3 linked regions of the Struthio camelus genome follow. The protein of the gene in region 3 interacts with the protein of the main gene of each other region in a pairwise test. Links are inferred from orthologs where the notes say so. Each region holds a gene or a part of one and is shown on either strand. Other genes may lie near its edges. The genes, in order: CRTC1, TSSK4 and CREB1.

Region 1 (7,107 bases), on a different chromosome or scaffold from region 3:
CCACTTCATCAGTTTATTTAGGGGAAGATTATGGGCAAAACTTAAGCGACCTATTTCTTAGCCTGAAAACGTGCAAATACAGGGTCCAAACCCTGCATTTGAGAAAGAAACAACAAAAACAAACACAAAACTGTATAGAGCTAGAAGTCAACATTAATATTTCCATTTTGGAGAAACTCACAATACTATTGACTTGAATAAAACTACTTCCAGTGGAAAGTATTAACCTCCATGCTTGCAGAGCAGTCCCGATTTTGATGCATTTCTTTAATATCTTTTAGGCATACAAAAATACTATTACCTACTCAGGAGTTTTTTTTAAATCAAATTATTTAGTAAAATTCTGAATACATTAGGAATCATTGCGACACTGTATCATTAATATTTATCATTTTTTAAAGTACAGATTAGCATTCCTGATTTAACTAAGCTTTTAAATACTGTTTTGCATAGTATCTACATTTAACTGTATGATCTGTGAACGTACAAAGAGACATTCTGCAGCAGATAGAAACAAATACAAAAGCAGAGCAATTGTTTCACTCATAAGTACAAATTCCGAAGAGACGTGTGCCTGTGCGCATATATATATACACACACATATATAATACGCATATGAGTACAAACTATGAATTTTTTCACTTGATTTTCATTTAATTTCACTTCAGTTAAATGGCTATATATGGATAGCTATGCTTTTATAGTATATTCCATTTAATCTTGAAAAAATTAAACTAAAATTGGATCTTCATATTCAGGTTTAAAATATGAACGCTGACTTTTTACTCAACATAGATTTCAATAAATTGAAAAAGCAACACAGGCATACACAACTTTTGATAACACCTAAAAGATGCAGGCAAACACTGTCAGGCAGCACCACGTAGACTGACAGGGCATTGAATATGTACTTTGAAACACAAAAACCACATTGTGTGTCAAGGAGGAATATACCTTCTTAGAGGTCCTCTTAAGAGGAGTGCTGTTATGAGTAGGAAGGCTCACCGAAACACCTTCCACAAGTTGCCTGCGTGGGGGCTTCGCATACATGAGAAGATTATACAAGCAGTGCTGGAATTTTGCAGAATATTTCCAAACATTACCATTAACCTGATTTGTTTCCCTCCCCCTCTACGTTCCAGCCATCACCAACAGCAGCACAGCTCTCCAGCCAGTTTGGGGGTGGGGGGTAACTGGGGGCTCAGGTGTTTCAGGGTCAGGGGCTTGAGGAAGGAGGGGGGGTCTTTCTCTTAGGTAAATCTGCAAAGTCCATAAGAGGGAGCTCAAACACAGCTCTGGCTCAAATCCCTCAAAACCAAGTGACTTTAACAATATATAAAAGAAAAACTGGAGTCTTGAGAGCATTTCTAACTGGATAAGAATCACCTTAAAAATGCAGGTCACAAGCTGTGCCCAAGTTTTTTTTAAAATCTTGAACTCTCTAGCATTTGAGGAGCCATTTGTGGTTACTCAACACTATTTGTGCTATCTTGTATGTTAGTGTTTTGTTAAATACAATTTTAGAGGGAGCTACAGCCTTGCGTAAGGAAATAACATGCAATGTAGCAAGCATCACTGGGCTCTGCTGAGAGCAGGCCCTGGTAAACAACCCATTCTTGAAACAGAAATCAGCACAAGAAGATGTTCCAGAAGTTCGTGCTTTAAACAACAACGGAAAGGAGCAGGCCCATAAGCACAATATAGGAGTCAATGTCACAGAGAAAAGAACTCCTCCTCTTTTCAGCTACTTTGTCACTATGGGACTCCCAGAAACCTCTGGATTATAAACATCAAGGTCCCGCTCACAAGACAATTAGCCAGATCCAGTGCTTCTATCAGCCACCCAGACTCTTTCCAAGCTCTGTCTCCCCCAGAAAACCTAAAATGCATTCTTGAATTTGCCGGCTGAAAGATGGGACTCAGGAGAACATCTCTGAAATCAAAGTGATCTAATTTTCAAGGGAAATTTTTTTCCATGAGTATGGTGAGGGTAATAGAGAAAAGAGGAGTTAATATCACGCTCTGCTTTATACCAGGCAAGAAAGATGCATCATAACTTAAAAATCTCAGATGGACTGAACAACATAAATAGGTGGAAGACTACCAAGTCAGAAAGAAAGCTCAAAAACATGTGTATGCACAAGAAATGGTGGAACAGTAGTTCTCTGCCGCTGCTATGACCAGTAACTAACAATAAAACAGACAAGATGGTAAACATTGCAAAAAGACAATTACTAATAATGAAAAGGCAACAGAAATTTTGGGCTGCTTCCACAAACTGAGTAACGCATTTTCAAACTGACAGCAAAGTGTTGGTTGCCAAATGAAAATGAGAGCAAAGTTGTGCTTAACCCCTTTTTGCTTTTATACTGCATTTTGAACACAGATGAAATCATGGAATTTAGAAGAAAAAGTCTACAAAGGAGACATTTTATTCAGCTATTTGGTCAGTATTTCCATCACTTCAGTACCCAGAATCCTCAGACAACTTATTCATCTTGGGTCCTTTCTCAATACCAGGTTCCTGAAAATAAGAGGAGTTTCATCTGCCAAACTTAGATTAGGAATGCTCAGCTTGGGAGAACCTGAACTAGGATTCTGACATATGAACCTCCTCACCCTGAAGAAGGTGAATGCTAAACAGTAAGAGTTAATTAAAGGACAATCTGTAATTGCAGATGTCAAGAACTCTCTCCCTTAGAAATATCCAGCTCTTGAGTGGTATCCAAGGATCGATGATCAAAAGGCTAAAAACCTGAGGTACTGAGCTACACAAGTATAACAGGTTCAAGAAACAAGGAGAGTCCAGCAACTGCAAACGTTCACTGAATTGTTCTCAGCATGCTCTCAACTGTAATAGTAACTACAGGCAGCATCCTCTGTGAAATATCAACAGTTTAGCACAAACAAAGCTTCAACCTTACACCTTACCAAGCCACACTGACAGAATTAGCATGCCTTTGTTTTGTGTCTGACCAGCAGCAGCATGAATGCAAATCAAATATTTACCCTATTCTGACACAGAGGAATAAAAGGAAACATTTTACTGCAAATTCAACTCTGTTCTCTTGTTCCCATTCCTGCGAGCATGCAACCACAAACAAGCTTGTAAATTTTCTTTAAACAATTAAAACAGAAACAAAAATATTGACACAAGCAGGTGAGACAAGAACCATATAGAAAAGCTCTGAAACGCAGACCTAAACCAGAAAACGCATCTGAAGTTTGGGAAAATGCATTTATTACACCACTAAGCTCTAATGAAGCAGTTTGCAGAGACATTGTAAGCCGAGAACAATTTGGAAGTGCAGCAATTTGCACCGGTGACAACTGGAGTATAACAGGAACAACAGCAGTGACACTAAGCCCAGCAGCTCCCTCAGCGTCCCCGCACGCCCGCAGGCGCTTTCTCCGCACCCCGCACGCCCCCCGAGCCAGGACGGCGTGGGTTTACCTGCAAGCAGCTTGGGGCAGGGACCTCAGCCGGGCGCTGCACTGGCAGGGCAGGGGATGCTCCAGGCCGCGCCGAGGGAAGCGGCCCCCGACACGGGCAGGAGTGAGGCTGGAACTCCCCCCCTTCCCCCCCCAAAATCTGGGTCTGTCCCAGGGGAGAGGAGCTCCCCACCACCACACGCTGCCTTGGGGCAGCGGGTCCTGACCTGGGCTTCTCCCAGCGGAGAAGTGAGGGGGTTCCCCTGCCCGTGCCTCGGGAGAGAGGGGCCCCCCCAGAACCACACCTGCCACAGGGCAGCAGGGATACCCCCCCTCCCAAAATCGGGGCCTGCAATAGGGGAGCAGGGACACCCCCCCCTCAAAAATCAGGGCCTGCAATAGGGGAGCAAGGGCAACCCCCCCCAAAAATCAAGGCCTGCAACAGGGGAGCAAGGGCAAACCCCCCCTCAAAAATCAGGGCCTAAAATAGGCGAGCAGGGACACCCCTCCCTCAAAATCGAGACCTGCAACGGGGGAGCAGGGGCAACCCCCCCTCAAAACCGGGGCCTGCAATAGGGGAGCAGGGACACCCCTCCCAAAACAAGGGCCTTAAATGGGGGGGGGGGCAGGGACAGCCCCCTCCTCTCCCCCCAAAAAACAAGGCCTGAAACGGGTGGGATGGGGGGGCAGGGAGCCGCCTCAAAAACCGGGGCCTGCCCCGGGGGCAGCGGAGAGGGCACCTTCCCCCCCGCCGCGGGCCGGGCCGGGCGGCGGCAGGTGCCGCTCTGCGGAGGATGCTGCGGCCCCTCTCGGCCCCGGCCGCCCCCGCCGCCCCCCACCCCGGAGCGGAGCGGGGCGGAGGGCGCCAACTGCCCCCGCCAGGGGGCGCTGCCCCCCCACCCGCCCGCCGCGCCGCTGCCCCCGGGGCTGAGGGGAGCCGCGGGGGGCGCCGCCCCTCCCCCGCCCGCCTCCACCTCCGCCTCCGCCGGGGGCGGGCGGGCGGGGGGGGGGGAGGCGCGGCGGGCGGCGGCGCTCGCTCACCCTGTGGGCGCGGGTCAGGCTCAGGTCCTTCATGACCTCCTCGAAGGCCGCCGTCTCCTCCGCCTGCTTCTGGTTGTGCAGCGCGATCTTCTCGCTGAATTTCCGCGGGTTGTTCGAGGCCGCCATCTTCCCCCGTCCGCATCCCCCTCCCCGCGCCGGAGGGGGCGAGGCGCATGCGCCGGGCGGGCAGGCCGGGCGGGCGGGCGGGGGTGCGCAAGGCGCCTGCGCGCCGGCGGCGCCGGGCGGGAGGGAGGGGGTGGCGAGGCGGCGGCGGGGCGCATGCGCGAGGCCAGCGGCGGCGCGAGCGGGAGGAGGCGGGCGACGCTGGAAGCGGGAGGCGGGGGGGGGAGGCCAGAGGCGCGGGGGCGCATGCGCGGAAGAGGGGCTTCCCCCGTGGACGTGCGCGGGGAGCGGGCGCGCATGCGCGTTGCGCGCCGGCCGCCCTGAGGTGATGCCTCGCCGCCGGCTGCCCCCGCGTCCCGCGGCCGCTCCGGGCACCTTCGTCCCCTCTTTTTCCTGAAATTTCCCATATTCGTTAATGTCCCCGCCCCGCTCGTGGTAGGGGAAACCCCCCTCTGTGCTCTGCGTAACGCAGGGAGCCTGGTAACGGAGCTGGCTGGAAAAGGTGATGCTAAAAGTGGAGGGGGGGGTGATGTGAGTGTGCGCCCCCAACGAGCACTCGGCTATCACACTCCTGCCCTGAAGTGGGGAATAAATCTCTTAAAACAAAAAAAAAAAATTAAAGTTTTTAGCCGGCAAGTTAAAAATCTCAACTTTTCCCGTTTCCTCTTATTTTTCCTGTCTGTGGAGAGGTCAGTGGTTTATTTCAGTGGGCTTTTTCTTCAGACGCAACCAGCTATTCTCTCAGCTGCTCGCACACATCAGGCCCCTGTTGAGACACGGAGTGGAAAAGATACCCAGCTCCTGCTCAGCCGCCTGCCAGCGCTCAGACGGAGCAGTAGAGAAGGAAAAGGAGAGGAGAACGAGAATTAATGAGCGAGTCTCTTAAGCAACAGTTCCTGCTCTCTGGTCGCTGCCTCTTCGTGCAACAGAAGACATGTGAAGCTGTAAGAAAAGTGATGTATGTACAGCAGAAATTTAGTCGCAAGATACTAAGGAAGTGGGTTCCTGGCAAAGGTTTGGGAATCAGAAAAGGCTTCTGTTTCCCTAGGACGTTTCAGTGCGATGTCCAGTAGCAAGAAGATGCTACCACAGTGCTGTTGTAAACGACACAGAGCAAAACGTTGCATTCTTCCCGTGCAAGCACGCTTTCACTGGCAAAAGTCCTCCAAGCGTGTGCCGCTCCTCCCGCTTGCACCTGCATCTGCCCCTCTCCCGTGCTATTCTGCACACACAGCTCTACCAGGACGTGGAGCCAGGGCACCAGAGCCTTGAATTTCCACCCCGAGCGGTCAGGACCTTGGACGACAGAGCCGGCAATGTGTGGGACGCGGTATATCTGGTGTAAGGACAGGACGACAGGCAGCGATGACCCTGCCGGGATGCGTGCGGGCAGTTCCAGGGAGCGCAGACATTTCAAAACACAAGCTTAGGCTGCTAAGCCACCGATTCCAGCTGTGTTCGCATCAGATTGGTGCAAAGCACTGTGATATGCAAGCCACACACATTAGACACTAATAAATCCTGACAGTACTGTTTCCCAACACCCACGCACTGGCCTTTACACTTTCTTTTTTTATGAAGCAACAGAGGTAAAGCGGGAGCTCTTCTTTTTCAGTGATGACTCTGCCCCTGAACAGTGCTTACTCCAGTAACTGAATCCTCTAATGGTTGAACTGTCAGATAAAGAAATTAGACTCTGCTCTCTCTTCTACTACTGATCACCTCAGTGGCCTTGTTTTAGTCAGTTTACCAGTCATTTATAAGCATTTCCTGCCCACCTAAGAGATTATAATTATCCACCACTGCAAGGCTGTTGGAAGATGGATGGATGAAACTCAGCGCAGCACCAACTGTCAGGACTAGTGCTAGCAACAAAGTCGCATCCTACCCTAAATCCTAGTTGCCAATTTGCATGTAAAGTGTTTATAAAGTGATAAGAGATACCATCGCAGAAAGCACAGCTGAGACGTGAAAGATCATCTAGGCCACCCCCTTGCAGGATCAGCCATACCCGTGTCATTCCTGACAGACGTTAGTCTAGCCTCTTGCATTGCTTACCAGGAGTAAACAATCAGCACGCGTGTTCAGTTAAATACTCGCTAGCTGTGTACGTGAACAGCATTTGACCTGCAAAACTGGCCTGTCATGCTAAAAGCATGTAGTCTTAAGATTAACACCAAGATACCCTTCAACTAAATTGTTTTTTGCTTGACAACTGGGAGGAAGATAAATTATTTGTTAAGTTATCCTGGATTTAATACTATAGGTGATAATATCAAACATACTCTAGATCCAGCTGTCAATCTGCCTTTTTTAGCACCAAAAGATTAGGTGTCTAAGATGAGACTTGATAAATTTTCCTCTCTTGGATCTCCGGAGATTGAATAGGGAGTGAAATCTCTCCTCCGACGGCTACTCCTGTTCTTGGTTCACAGGGAAGGAACACAGATGGCCAGGGAGGGAGGGGGGCTACAACTTCCTCCCTCTAGAAGACTCCCTTTTCTTATTGTT
Region 2 (7,107 bases), on a different chromosome or scaffold from region 3:
TGCCTACACAGGTGTATGCCTTTACAAGAAATCAGGTTTGAAGAGAATAAATGAGGATGCTGACTTTTTCAGCATTAGTGAAGGAAAACTGCAGGTTAGATCGATTTATACACATGAATCAGACACCCGTCAGATGCACAACTGATCATAAATCAGTTATACTGGCTTGCAGAGATGTGTACAATTAAAGGGTTCACATATTATGACCCTGAGGCTAGCAAACAATACAGCTGGCGTTGGCATCAGTTTCCATGTAGAAGGAGATTATCAAATACAGCTGCTTGTTGTCTGCGTTTTCTGTTTGTAACCAATTTCTCTTTCAAGGTGTGAACTCCATTTGAAAGAAGGAGTTAGAGGAGAAAATTGAAGTGGGTCAGAGACACGAGTACCTCATGCTGTCAAGGAAAGGGAAAAAATGGTTCCACCAAGGGCAAGGACAACATTTCACTGGACCTCAGGTAAGGCTGGGAAGCGGTTCACTGCCAAGCAAGCTTTTAGAGGGAAAAGTAAGCAATTAGTTGGACAGGGATGCTCATGCTGTATCAATAAATTCAATTAAAAATACTAGTGGTTTTTTTTTCCTCTTTTGTAAAGTTTCTGGTCAAGCAGCAAGAAACCCCATTCCCTTGCTGTCGAAACGCAGCTTCTCATCTGGAAATTTGGTGCTGCTTTAGGGATACCAGTAGCGCTCTTCCGAGTTTTCTGGTCTTCTGAAATGGTAGCTCTGTGCTCTTACCTAGCATTCAGGCTTCTTGAGCTACTTTGCGCAACTGATTATAAAATCAGCAAAGATAAAACCATTATAGGACTTACATTAATTTAGGTACTTAATTTACAATTTCGATTTATTTAGCTTTGTGGTAGAACTGCTGCGTAGTTTCTGAGCAACCTGTTAAAAACGAATGCCAAAATACCTGTGTAACCTATCAACACGAAATAACGTTTCCTCTGGAACGGGTATTTTCTTCCCAAAGCTGCGCGCAGAAGAGCGATGCCGAACCAGCGAGGGAGGCCCAAGCGCTCAGCAGGCCGGCCCACGCGCCCCAAGGAGCACGCACAGCGGCGAGAGGGACAACCGAAGGCCAGCTGGCCGTTCTTCCGTGTCGGCGTGGCCTTGGAGCACCCGAGACAAGCGCTCGCCGTCAAAGCGCCGACGGTAAGGGGAACGAATCCTCGCGGCGCCCTAAGGCGCCCTGCGGTCTGGGGCCGACCAGGAGTCGGCGGCCGGCCGCTAAGGATCTGCAGAGGCAAGGCTGAAACAGCGGCCGCGGCGCTGCAAGCGGGGCCGCAGCTCTCGGCGCCGCACAGCGGGCAGCCGCGAGCGCGCGCGAGACCCAGCGCCGCGCGTGGGGGCCGCGGGCCGCCCTGGCCCCGCCCCCCGGCCCGGCGCCCCGCCCCCGCCCCGGCGCCCCGCCCCCTTGGCGCCATCTGGGAGCCGAAGGGGGACGTTCCCCCCTTAAGAGAATCCCGGGGCCCCGCCCAGCTGCGCGTGGCCCTTTTAAGGGCCGTCACGTCCCCGGGGTGGGGGGGGGGTTGGCGCTCTCGGGCGAAGTCAGCGGCGGCGGGGCTGGACCATCGCCCGCGGGAGGGGGAGCGGGTCGGGCTGGACCACTGCCCGATGCGGGGGGAGGGGAGGGCTAAACCATCCTGTGGAGGGGGGGTCACCGGAAAAGGGGCCCCCGTTGCGCAGGGCTCGGGGGCGCCCACAGTAAACGGGGAGGGCGCCTCTTGCAGGGCCCCCCCTTACAGGGGTGTCCCCAAGGAAGAAGGGAGCCGAAGGAGGGCTCAAGGCTTTTATTAGAGGTCTTCCGAAGCGGGGGGGGGGTCCCCAAAACTGCGGCTGGAGGGTTATGTCTGAGGGGCCTCTGTGGCAGAGGGCAGGTCGCCCGGGGGGGCCGGGGGCAGGAAGCGAGAGACCCAGGGGGTCTGCAGGAGCTGCCGGGCCGAGAGGCGCTGCGAGGCCGGGCACAGCAGGCGCAGGATCACGTCCTGGGGGACACGGCAGTGGGGGAGGGCCCCGCGGCCTCTCCCGAGGCCTGGAGGGGCCCCCGTCAGCTGGGAGACCCCCGGGCCCCCGCTGCCTCCGGGTGTCCCCCGGCTGCCCTCCGGCCGCCGGCGCGCCTCAAGGCCCTCTAGCTCCCCTACTGCCCCCACGGCGCCCCTCCAGTACCCTCCAGATGGCCCTCGAAGCCCCCCCAGGCCCCCAGCTCCCCTCTGCGCTGCAGAGCTGCCCCCCATCTGCTGCTGCCCCCACGCGCCCTCTAATGCCCCTTGGTGCACCCGGCCACCCCCCAGCCCCACCTTGCAGTCCTGGGGCAGGGGCTGCCACGAGGGGAAGACGAGAGGCTGCTGGATCTGCTGCAGGAGGCGCCGCAGGTTGGTGTCGTCGAAGGGCAGGCGGCCCAGGAGCAAGGCGTAGAGGATGACGCCAGCGCTCCAGGTGTCCGCCAGGAAGGGGTCGTAGGCCTGCGCCTGCAGGATCCTGGGGCAGGCGTAGGCGTACGATCCACAGAAGGTCTGGCTCAGCACCCCCCCAGCGGGCACCCCCCCAGAGGTGGAAGCCCCCAGGGACTCCCCGTTGGCCTCCTCCAGGGCCACCTTCCGGGGGAAGCCGAAGATGGAGATCTTCACGTTGTCCTGGCAGTCCAGGAGGAGGTTCTCCAGCTTCAGGTCCCTAGGGGAAACGCGGGGTGGGGGGTGTCTATGGGGCAGAGGACAGTGTGGAGAGCAGATAAGGGTGCAGTGGGTTAGGTAGGCGTGGGGGCAAACAGAGGCTTTGGAGGTCAGAATCAGGGTGCGTAGGGCAAGTAGGGGACACAGAGATGAGCTGTGGGGCAGATAGGGAAGTTTGGGGGCAGTTGGGGGTCAGATAGGTGGTGTGGGGGCAGATAAGGGGGCTGTGGGGCAGGTGGGGGAAGTGTGGGGCAGACAGGCTGTGGAGGTCAGATATGGGTGGCGTGGGGTCAACAGGGCGGATATGGGGGTTTCGGAGCAAACGGAGGTGTGGGAGGCAGGTGTGGGCTATGGGGCAGAGGGTGGTGCGGGAGCAGACAGGCAGTAGGTAGGAGACAGAGGGGGCCCTCCCCCCGGCGCCGCAGCGGGGACCCTGTTGCCCCGGTGCTTGCCCACCGGTGGACGATGGCCCTGCTGTGGAGGTAGGCCAGGCAGAGGACCAGCTGGGAGAACCAGTGTCCCGCCAGGTGCTCGGGGCAGGGCCCCTGGCTCTGCACCCGCTGAAGGACGTTCCCCAACGGTGCCAGCTCCATGATGATGTAGTACCGCGCCGTGGTCTCGATGGCCTGGTAGAGGGTGATGAGATGCTTGTGGTGCAGCCCCTTCAATACCTGCAGGCAGGGAGGGGCTAGCGGGGGGCAGGTCTGCCCCGGAGAGCCCCCCTTGGATTGCCGCTGCCCCCGCAAAATGCTGCATCTCCTGCACCCAGTGCCCCTGGCCCCATGTAGCTCCTGGATGCCCCCCCAAGGCCCACCTTGTCCCATGGCACCTGACAATGCCCCTGAGCCCCCCTACCCTACTGGCTCTCTCCAATGCCTCTCCAATCCCCCCTGCTCCCCAATGCTCTCCCGTCCCCCCTGCCTGGATGTGATGGGGCAGGAGCTCTCGGAGATATTCCTCCGGTGCCTTTCTTTTGGAGATGACTTTGATGGCAACCCGGGCCTGCTGCCGGCGGGCCACAGCCTTGTACACCTTCCCGTAGGTGCTGTGGCCCAGCATCTGCTCCAGTTGGTAGCTGAACTGCTGCAGCACTGCCGGGGTGGCAAGGGGGGCCGCCTCGGCCATGCCCGCAGGCAGCGAACCTGCCGGGTGGAGCAGGGCCTCGGGGCCCCCCCGGCGGGAACCAGCCCCCCAACTGCTGTGCCCTCCCAGCCCCCTTCTCCTCCTTCCAGCTGCTCCCCTCCGCCTACAGCCCTGGGGGTTCCCCCCCTTGGTGACGTCACAACCTTGGGGATTCCCCCCACTGGTGACATCACAACCCCCAAGTTCCCCCCCCCCCCGGCTGCTGTGGAGATGGTAGATGGGGGGGGGCGGTTGGTTTTGGGGGCGCTCTGAGCCCCGCGGGGCTGTTAATTGGGGCAGGGGCTTAATTCGTGACCGCCGGCCAGAGAGACCGCAGGGCAATTCGGGCAGCAGGAGCCAGCGCGAGACCCCCCGAGAGGGGGAGGGGGAGGCGGCGTTGGCGGGGGGCGAGGGCCGCAGCCGGACCCCGACGGGGAGCCCCGCCGTGCCCCGCCCCCTCCCCGCGGTGGGGGCGTGGCCGCCGCCGCCGCCGCCGCCCAATGCGCGGCGCCGCCGCTCGGCCCGCCCCGGCGCCTGACGGCCAATGAGAAAAAAAAAACCTGCCGCCGCCCAATGAGCGGCGGCGGCGGCGGTAGTTGCTGGGCAGGCATGCGCGGTGCGCCCAATGGGAGCGGGGCGCTGCGGCCGGGCCCGGGCGCAGGCGGCGGCGGCGGCGGCGGCGGGAGCGGCGCGGCGCGGCTGGGCCGGGCCGGGCCCCGGCGCTCACCATGCCCTACAAGCTCAAGAAGGAGAAGGTGCGGCGGCGGCAGGGAGGGGCGGCGGCGGCGGCTCGCCGCCCTGAGGCCGGCCGGGGGCTGCGGCGCGCCCGCCCGCTCCCTCCCTCCCTCCCTCTGCCGCCCGCGGCCTTCCCTCAGCGCGGCCGTTGGGCGGGGGCGCGCGCGGGGCTGCGGCCGGCAGGGGGCGGGGGCGCGCGCCGCGGGGCGGGCGGGCGGGGCGGCTGGTGCAGGAGGGCGGCGGGGGCGCGCGCGCGCGGAGGCCCCGGTTCCCCCCCCCCTCCCCCCCGCCGGTGCGGGCCTGGCCCCGGGCGGCGCGGGGGCCTTACCGGCGTCCCGGGCCCTGCGCGGGGGCGGCGGGCCGCGGCCTCGGCCCTGCCCCAGTCCCGGGGCCGCCCCGGCGAGCGGAGGCCCGGGCCTGTGCCCGGTGCCCGCTGGCGCCGGGGTACCGGGAGCAGGTTGCTGTTGCATAACCGTGCGTAGCGCTGGCCTGCGCTCGGTTTGCACGGCGGCTGGCCGCCCCCCCCCCGGGCGGGCCGGGCCCGGCTCCCGCTCGTTCCCCCAGCGAGGCAAAGGCGGATGCGGCGAGGGAGGGAAGCGGCTCTGGGGGCCCTTTTGAGGAGTTACTGCACAAAACACGACTTACTGCGGAGGCGGTGGGGGGAGGTCTGTGACGGAGCAAAGCGAAGCGATGCCCGGAGAGGTGGAAATTGCTGTGCAAGGTGAAGCGTTCTCTAAGCGCGTTTTCATCGTTCCAGGAGTCTCCAAAGTCTGCAAAAAGCACTGCAAAGCCTGGCAGTGGCAGTAGCGGAAAGGATGGTGGGGCAGAGAATTCAGAAGAGGTAAGGATTTCACTTTGGATGCAGCAGCATGCATGTGCAACTCATCTTTGAGGAAAAATAACCTCCTTCGCTTCACCTACTTCAAGCTGATCTGTCAGATGAGCTATCTCACCAGGGTTTTATGGAATCGCAGACAAGATGGTAGCAAAGGTTAAAGTTAAGATGAAGTTAGTTGGTCCAAGGGGAATGATGGCAATGGAAGAGACAGAATGACTTGGGTGCCCTACAGTCCTGCAAAAAAGAGACTTGGCACAATGCTAAAAGGCAAGCACTGCTCATAGAGCTGGGCAGAGCGTGGTAAAGTTGGCTGCAGAGAGTGAAGAGCTGCCCTTATCGAGAAGGAAGAAGCCTGATGGACTGGAGCAGCTTCCATGCTCCTGTCAGAGCAAAGCAGGGTAAACTGTTGTTCTGTTGTGGCAGAGCAGGAAAGAGGTGAGAAGCAAGGAAAACGGAGCTTGTTCTTTTGAGGCGTTTTCTGGGGGAGTGGGGCTAGGGAATAATTGGTTCAGCATCTGAGAGAATAGGAGTAAACTACTAGATAGGAAACAGTTCTCCTGTGTTATCACAGCCTTCCTGTTGCCGAGCACAGCATTGCTCACAAAAAGGGAGGGTCTGCATTCCCACCTGCACAGAGACACCCTTCTGATCTCAGTTTTGATGCTGCCAAGCTACCTGCGTCAGGGCTGCTTCAACAGAAAGTGAGACTGTGATTAGCTCTGCTAAAGTTGGTAGAAATTTGGGTGAACCAGAGCTTTTCTGGTAGTCTTTGAGTTTATCTAGCATTTAAATGGTGTGGTTTTGGATTCTGAGACTTGGCTTCAGCACAGTGCCGTATGTATGTCCAAGGAAGCGCCTTTTTTTTTTTTTTTTTAAATACCGCAATTTGGCAAACAAGCTGTGCCACTTTACATCCGTAGAAGCCTGTGTGCTCAAGACGTGCTTGGAACATGTTCTGATTGGGAGAACCAGAGACAGGAGATGTGTAAGGCTGATGAAGACTAGGGAGAAATCTGTAGTTCAATTGGACAGCTGTAGTCAAAGTAAGGTTGTCCTACGGTCTCCTTGAAAGCATGTTGCAGAGTCTGAGATAACATCCCTACTACTAGCCACTCCATTTCAAGCTCTAAGCTGTGCTCATGCCTAACCTGCTGTGTAGCCAGAAGAGTCAGAAGCTGAGTTTGTTTGCCTTGGAGCGAGGGGCAGTTTTGTAGATTCTGTTACTATACCCTGTCCTAGTCTGGGCCTCTGCCCGTTTTATTCTGTGTGTACAGCTGAGAACTGCTTGCTGGAGGGCTGTCCGCTGGCTCTGAGGAAGTGAGGGAACTCCTGCTTTGCCTCACAGGGTCGGGCTTACCTCCTATTTATTTAGCACTCTTTGTCTGCTGAGTTCACAGTTCTGGGAAGAAGAAGGTAAGCCTGGGTCTCGCAACACAAGGGTGACGGACAGCCATCAAAGCAGAGCAGGCTGATGTCCCTGTCCAGATCAGCAGGGGCTGCGGTACTGCTTTCCTAGTTACCGATGGTGTAGTAGGAAAGGAAGAATAGCGCAGGTCGCAAGCTTCCTTCCGTGACCCGAAACGGCCCGTAATTGTTCCTGGGTGCAGAAGAAATTCAGAAGTGATGTGTCTAACCTTCCCTCCCACAAAACATACCCAGCCACTTCCTCATACCCCAAACTAAATCCAGCCCTTCTTTAAGATGGAAGGCTGGGTCTCCTTTGATCATAAGAACAGAGA
Region 3 (7,107 bases):
AGGATGCCAGATTATTAGCAATGCCTGAAATGAAGAGCAGGATCAAAACGGCGCAGAGAACTGCTTGACAACATAGCAGCAGCCCTTGCCGGTCTCCGGGAGCCCAGCGTATCGCAGCCCCATCAGCTGCGCTCTCTTGGCTCAGACCGAGCTCGGGCTCAGGCTGCTGAGGAGAGCTGTTCACTGAGACTGGGTTAGTGCACTTTAGCTGCCTTTCAAGGACTGGAGTTTACTCTCTCCGAGCGCTTATCGCTGTGATTCTTCAGGCTTCCCGCAAGAAGGCGAGTCACATACTTCTGGGAAATGTGCCTGCGTGGAGAACGTACACAGTTTGGGTCATTTGGGGAGCCAACAAAACTGATGCAACACAGAAACATTAACAGAGAATTGGAAAGAAGGAGAGGGAACGGGGAAAAAAGGATAAATTAACGCATGAATCAAGCAAGAGACACTCAGACAGCTAAATTTGTTCTGCGCATTCTAAATATTTTCTTATATAAAGTACTTTACTCCCCATAAGAGGAGCACAAGGGCAGCTGAGCCTTTACGCTCTGATCTCAGAACCACTCCTTGACGTACAGTAGTTTTAGGAGTGATTTTAGCCGTACGCTGCTGACAGGATCAGCTATTAATCAAAGGAGCAACACAAGTCCAAAATAATGAGGGAGAGAAAAGGTCACGCTCTACTGTGCTATGCTGCAAACTTGGAGCTCCTGTTTGCAGACAGCTCAGACAGAAAAAAATGCAATAAAAGTGCAAAATGAGGTGTGGCCCAGCCATATTATGTGTTTTCAACAAAACAGTTTTTTATCAGTCCAACTTGAGCTGCTTGTTTTAAAAATGTCAGACACGGTTTATTTCAGTTTGTTTTCAAACAACTGAAATCAACAAAGCCAAAAGCAGAGCAAGCCCGTAGTCGCTGTCTGCATCATCTCTTTCGATTTTTTGACGGAGTTGGATGAAACTCCCTCTCAATAAAACTAGTTCAACCCTCTTGAGGAAAACAAGACTCAGCAAGAACAAGACTAGATTCACGTGGGCAACACTGTCTTTTGATGTGGTGTAAGTGGCGGGCTCTGCAGGGCCCACCTGGGCGGGTTATTGCCGTGCAGCGGCGTCTTGCGATAACGGCAGGCAGCCCTGGAGGAACGCGCCAACGACCCGGTGGTTGAAATGAACGGCATCTGGAGCTTCAAATCTTGTCATGCAGTGCCATCTCGAGGTTTCCTGGAACAAAATGGACTTTCTTCAAAACTACACGTAGTTTTTAATTGGTCCTACGAGCTCCAGATCTGCCCGTCTGCCCGCCGGAGATGTCCCCACTGCACGGGCACAGGGAGCTGCTCTCCCTCTGGCCGCAACCAAACGGGACCAACCAAAGCGGTGCCAGATAGCACGTGCCCTGCCCCGAGGTGTCCCCCCACCCCATGCCCCATGCCCCATGCGGGACCATCAGAGGAAAAGCCCAGCGAGAGCAGCTGGATGGTTTCCCTGCTGCGTCCCGGAGAGACCGTGGAGGCCACCAGAGCACGGAGGTCACCAGTGCGTGGAGGCCACCAGAGCGTGCAGGCCACTAGAGTGTGGAGGGCACTAGAGCGTGGAGGGTGCCAGGCTGGGCCCCACGAAGTCAGAGCCAGGCCGGGTGCCTCTCCCCGTCCCCACACCCCATCACTTGGGGGTCCCCGTCCTGGTGAAATCTATCTCTCTAGGAAGGGCGATGAAGCGCAGACGTGGCACCGGCAGGAGTGGACCCTCGCCTGGGAAGGGGCTGCTCTGAAGATCACGATTTGCGGCTCTGTCGCCTGGCTGGGCAGACAGCGTTCGTCCTTCTCGTGGCAGTTGGGGAAGGTTGGTTATGTGGATGGCGGCCAGGGAGGGTTGGTTACATGGAGCTCGGGGACTTCATGGCAGTGTTGGTGTTATGGTGGTGGGAGTGTTGCCCCGCGCCTGTGAGCTGCGGCGGCACCACCTGCTCGTGGGGCCGCCCCGGCTGGCCACGGCGCCAGAGCGAGCTGCAAGGCAGCCGCAAGGACAAGCTGGAAGAGCCAGGCTTGGAGGAGCAGCCTGAGGGACACATATGGGCATTTTGCCACGTTGAGAGGGCATGGGGAGGCCGGGCTGGGTGGAGGCCAGGCGGAGGCCATGGAGCGTTGAGGAGGGGTGAGAGGAGCCCATGCAACGCCAGGGCAGCAAGGAGGCCTCAGGATGGCACCACGTCCGCGATGTTGTGTGCAGAGCACATCCACCATGTCGTGCTTGTGGAGACTGTGTGCACCAGGTTGTTCCGGCAGACACCACGTCTGCCATGTCGTGTGCAGAGCATGTCTGCCATGTCGCGCTTGTGGAGACTACGTGTGCCAGGTCGTGCCTGCGGACATCACGTCCGCCATGTTGTGCGGAGAGCACGTCCGCCATGTCGTGCTTGTGGAGACCACGTCTGCCAGGTCATGCTGGCGGACACCACGTCTGCCATGTTGTGCGGAGAACGTGTCCGCCATGTCGTGCTTGTGGAGACCACGTCTGCCAGGTCATGCTGGCGGACACCACGTCCGCCATGTTGTGCGGAGAACGCGTCCGCCATGTCGTGCTTGTGGAGACCACGTCTGCCAGGTCGTGCTGGCGGACACCACGTCCACCATGTTGTGCGGAGAACGCGTCCGCCATGTCGTGCCTGTGGAGACCACGTCTGCCAGGTCGTGCTGGCGGACACCACGTCCGCCATGTTGTGCGGAGAACGCGTCCGCCATGTCGTGCCTGTGGAGACCACGTCTGCCAGGTCGTGCTGGCGGACACCACGTCCGCCATGTTGTGCGGAGAACGCGTCCGCCATGTCGTGCCTGTGGAGACCACGTCTGCCAGGTCATGCTGGCGGACACCACGTCCGCCATGTCGTGCTTGTGGAGACGATGTCTGCCACCTCGTGCTTGTGGAGACCATGAGGGGCGGCTGGAAGCCTTCCGGAAGGTGAGAACCGGGGACGGGGGGGCCCGCTGGGGCTGAGTTTTGGGAGGTTTGGGACAGCGCCACAGAGCAGCAGCTGGGCTGCCGGGGAGGCGACGAGCGCCCCTCTCCCGACGCGCGGGGCGGCGGTCGGGGTGTGCTGGGGGGGCCTCGCCCCTTCCACCGCGCCCGCGGAGGACGGAGGGGAGCGGCGGGAGCCCTCACCCCCCCTCCCCGCCGCGGCCCCGCTCGGCGCTTCCCGCGCGGGCTGCCGCGGGCGGAAGCGGCGTTCGCGCCTTCCGCGGCCGCTCGGCTCTTTCCGCCTCCCCGGCGGGGCGCTTCGTTCGTTTCCGCGGCCGCTCGGCTCTTTCCGCGGGGGCCGGCGGCGCGCTCGGCCGTTCCCGCCGCCCGCCGCGCGCTCGGCGGTTTCCGTGAGCGCTCGGCGGTTTCCGTGCGGGGCCGCGGCGCTCTCGGCGCTTGCTCCCTGGCTGGCGCTCCTCAGTCGGCCGCTGCCTGCCTGTCGCCGGGCTGGGAGCGCCTGTGTGTGTGTGAGTGACGCGGCGGAGGTGTAGTTTGACGCGGTGTGTTACGTGGGGGAGAGAATAAAACTGCGGCGAGATCCTAGGCGCGAACGAAAGCAGTGACGGAGCAGCCTGGTAACCGGTAAGAGGAGGAAGGCGCCCAGCAAACAGGGGCGGGGGGGAGGGAAGGAAATGGAGCCCGGCGGGGACCAGGGGGAGCCGCCGGGCGGCAGGACGCGGGGGCCCGGCCTTGCAGCGCCAGCGGGAGGGGCGCCCGCTTTAAAGATGGAGCCGAGCCCTGCAACATCCCCGCCGCCGCCGCGCCGCGAACAAAGGATAATGGCGGATGGGAGCCGGCCCCGGCGGCGGCGGCGGCCGCCACGGCCAGGCGGCGGCGGCGGCGACTCTGGCGGCAGCCAGCGGCGGCGCTCAGCGCGGCGGGGAGAGGGGGATCGCGCCCCCCGGCCCCGAGGAGGAGGAGGAGGAGGAGGAAGACGACGAGGGGGGAGAGAGGAGGAGGAGACGGCCGCGGCGGTGCCGCCGGCGGCGGCGGCTGCACACCCACCCTCTCCCCCCTCCGCGGCGGGGTGGCGGCCCCTGTCCCCCCCCCCCCAACCACCACCACACCGCCTCCACACAACTCCTCACGGGTCGTCTTCTTTATTCTTTTTTTTTTTTTAATTTTATTTTAATTCTTGTTTTCGCCTGGCTGTGGCCGGCGCAGGGCGAGCGCGGCCTCCTCGGCGGCTCGCTGCCGGCCGCCAGCCCTGGCCGGGGCCGCCTCGGCCGCCCACCCGCCCCCGCTGCCCCTTCTTTTTCCCCAGAGTTTCACTACCCGGCGACCTGAGCGTGCTGTGTCAATAAACAAACTCCTGCGATTAAAAACAAATCAAAAACAAAAAAGAAAACACCCCTCCCACCGCCACCACCACCACCGACAACAAAACACGCGGGGTGCTCCTAGGCGCTGTAACGTGCTCTCTTAGGCTCTGTAACAAGAAGTTTTTAATAAAAACCGTGCACTGAAGTTTGGGCCGGCATCTGACTTGGTGGTTTACTTTCATTGGAAGTGTCGGGGGCATGATCGTATGCGGAGGGCTGTAAAACCGGCGAACTTACTCGGTCACCCAACACCGCCTGCCGTTAAAATATAGGAGGGAAGATCTTTAAGGCTGACGCTCAGATCGCATAACCAAGATACGGTTCCTTTTTGCAGCGTGTTTCTTTCCTGTTAGTATTTTTAACTGAAAGTGAACTTGAGCCTGGCGGTGACCGGTTAATCTCAGTTTGGGGTTTGCTCTTGCCAGTTTTGCACAGACTCCTCAGCGCTGCACAAATGAGCAGGCTTTGACCTCTATCAGTGCTTTAATAGCAAATGTCAGCTAAACTGTCCTTGCCACGTTCCACCAGTCCTACCTTGCCTTTGACTGCTGCGCTGGGGGGCTTTCCCTCCCCGCCCCTTTATTGTCTAGCATAGAAGATACTGTTTTGACCTTATTTACTCTTGCAAAGCCTGGATTTCTGCATCTTTGTGCACAGTAATAAGTGAAAATGCTCTGGCAATCTCTCTTAAAAACGTATTTTTAACTAAAATTTTTTATGCCTGTCAAAAGTATATGCAAGGATTAAAAAAAATATGGGTCATGTGGCTTTTTCTTCCAAAAACACTTTTTTGGGTTTTTTTTTTCCCCTCCCCTCAAGAACTAGTTTCCTAACTCTTAAATAAAAGGCTAGAAACTTATTTGAAAATACTGAATATCTCTTTTCAATTCCAGTGTAACCACCAAGCATTATATTTTGAAATACTAGAGCTCCTGAAGTTCTGCTTCTCCCTTTCCCTGTGTCATCAAACGTAGGTTTTTACTCTAAAAGGTGAAGTTCCGGAAATGCCTTCTTTTATTCAAGATGGGCATGTGCGATTTGTGTAAGTGTCTAGATAGGCCTGTCCTTTCTCGCATGTGGAATTTGTTCTCTGTCGTTTCCACCACTTCTGTTGAAAAGAAAGCCAAGGTGTTCTACATCGCTTCACTCTGAAAAATACCAACGTGAGAAGAGGGTTTCTAAAGTTGCAATTGATTAATAGACATCTGTGGACTTCAGTGAGCAATGTAGCCATTGATAGTGATTAAACAGAACATAGTGTTTGGTGTAATTCATTCATTTTTGGTTTGATGGACTATTCACTTCATTTTAAATACAAAAATGTGACAGTAAACCTTTGCATGTCGTTATTTTGTAGCTTTAGAAACATAACATTTTGTTTATCCCCAAACCATTCTATTTCATGATAGAGCGCAGGACTCTCACATCAACATATTCTAACTCTTTCCCTGCGTTTCCCTGTAAACTTTGTATCCTCACTGACAGGAGAGAAAAGAGAGCAGGAAGGTAATGGTGTATTTGTCAAGCATAGCTTATGGGTGACCTAAAAAGAAATACTGTTTGGATGTAGGAAAGTAGAGTATAATAATTCTTCACGTTTTTTTAAATTTCATTGGTGGAACGACCAGTAATATTTGGCGTTCAGATTAGTACTCTCAGCTTTTGTATCCAAGTCTGGAATAAGTGGTCTGCATCTGATCTGTATTAAATACCCATTGTTTTCCCATATTTTTTGGAAAGGAAAGTGTAAGGGTGCCTACTACCCCAGGGGAGAGGAAAGGTCTGAAAGGAGAGAAAGGTCTGTTGATCCAAAAAATTCAGAAACAACTAATTTAGACTGTCAAGTCATCAGTCTATCTGCTTCCTGGAAACTTAACACCAGTGCAGCTATTGCTGGTACTGGTATCAAATATAAAATATTCTGTGGTACCTTATCTTAATCGGGAAAGTAGCTGTTCTGCTGCAGTAAGAAGTAAACAGCCTCTTCTTGCATAGCTTCAGCTACAGCTCTCGAGGTGCAAATTTTGGTAGTAGACAAGGCCCTGCCTAGGAATTTCTGTTGACACCCGTGTGAAACAAACGGGATATTCACACTTCACCTCTATTTTAGGATCTCTGTGAGCAAGTGGAGATCAGTTACTCATGCCTCACTTCTCAAGGCTTTTTTGCAGTGAGAAGGCCTAGCTAGCTTTCTGCCTGTAATTTAAAGTTATTTTCATGGAAAATGACAGTAATCCTCATCAACAAAAACAGCCCTCCTGGGCTTGGTTTGAGCTCTCCGGTGCCCTCTCTGCATACGGTTGAAGTTCCGTGACCATTCAGTGAAGTTTTTTTCTCTAAATCAAAAATTATGTTGCCTCATCTGCAGTCTATGTGGTCACGTTTCATGGTGATTATGAAAATCTGAGCGCTCTCAGCGGTTAGTGATTTTCTTTTCACTTCTCCCAGCTGTTAAGTTGTTCATACCTACTTTATTCTTAAGCTTTTAGACCACTTGATTGTACCACAAGTAAAAAAGTGAGTGAGAGTAAGCGCTGCACCTTCTGTTGTTGCACGTTTATAGAACAGTCTTGTGAGCTGTGGAGAAGGTGAAGACGTGCTTGGGTCTAGTAGCTCTTTTAGGAATGCTAGGTAAAGCAGCAGCTGGAAGCAGACGAGAAGCAGACAAGGATTTCCACATTTCATGCTGCTGCTGTTTTTTCTGGCGGTGCTGGATTTAGAGTATCCTGTGAGGAGCAGAGGAAAAAGAAAACAGCAGATGCTG

The links.
Region 1: the proteins of CREB1 (region 3) and CRTC1 interact in binary tests that used the Homo sapiens proteins (3 or more experiments, as listed by UniProt). The link is inferred for Struthio camelus from reciprocal best matches to the Homo sapiens genes CREB1 and CRTC1.
Region 2: the proteins of CREB1 (region 3) and TSSK4 interact in binary tests that used the Homo sapiens proteins (3 or more experiments, as listed by UniProt). The link is inferred for Struthio camelus from reciprocal best matches to the Homo sapiens genes CREB1 and TSSK4.

The regions. Positions count from the first base shown.
Region 1 is NC_090967.1:5,978,966-5,986,072, reverse strand, and holds the start of CRTC1 (CREB-regulated transcription coactivator 1), read right to left. Parts: upstream 4,671-7,107; 5' UTR 4,600-4,670; coding exon 4,474-4,599; intron 1-4,473. UniProt on the Homo sapiens protein: Transcriptional coactivator for CREB1 which activates transcription through both consensus and variant cAMP response element (CRE) sites.
Region 2 is NC_090944.1:147,920,417-147,927,523, forward strand, and holds TSSK4 (testis-specific serine/threonine-protein kinase 4), read right to left. Parts: upstream 3,799-7,107; coding exon 3,595-3,798; intron 3,345-3,594; coding exon 3,130-3,344; intron 2,675-3,129; coding exon 2,302-2,674; intron 1,990-2,301; coding exon 1,849-1,989; 3' UTR 1,780-1,848; downstream 1-1,779. Other genes in the region: PPP2R5D (serine/threonine-protein phosphatase 2A 56 kDa regulatory subunit delta isoform), read left to right, coding at 4,524-4,550, 5,288-5,371. UniProt on the Homo sapiens protein: Serine/threonine kinase which is involved in male germ cell development and in mature sperm function. May be involved in the Cre/Creb signaling pathway. Phosphorylates CREB1 on 'Ser-133' in vitro and can stimulate Cre/Creb pathway in cells.
Region 3 is NC_090947.1:9,436,860-9,443,966, forward strand, and holds the start of CREB1 (cyclic AMP-responsive element-binding protein 1), read left to right. Parts: upstream 1-3,215; 5' UTR 3,216-3,603; intron 3,604-7,107.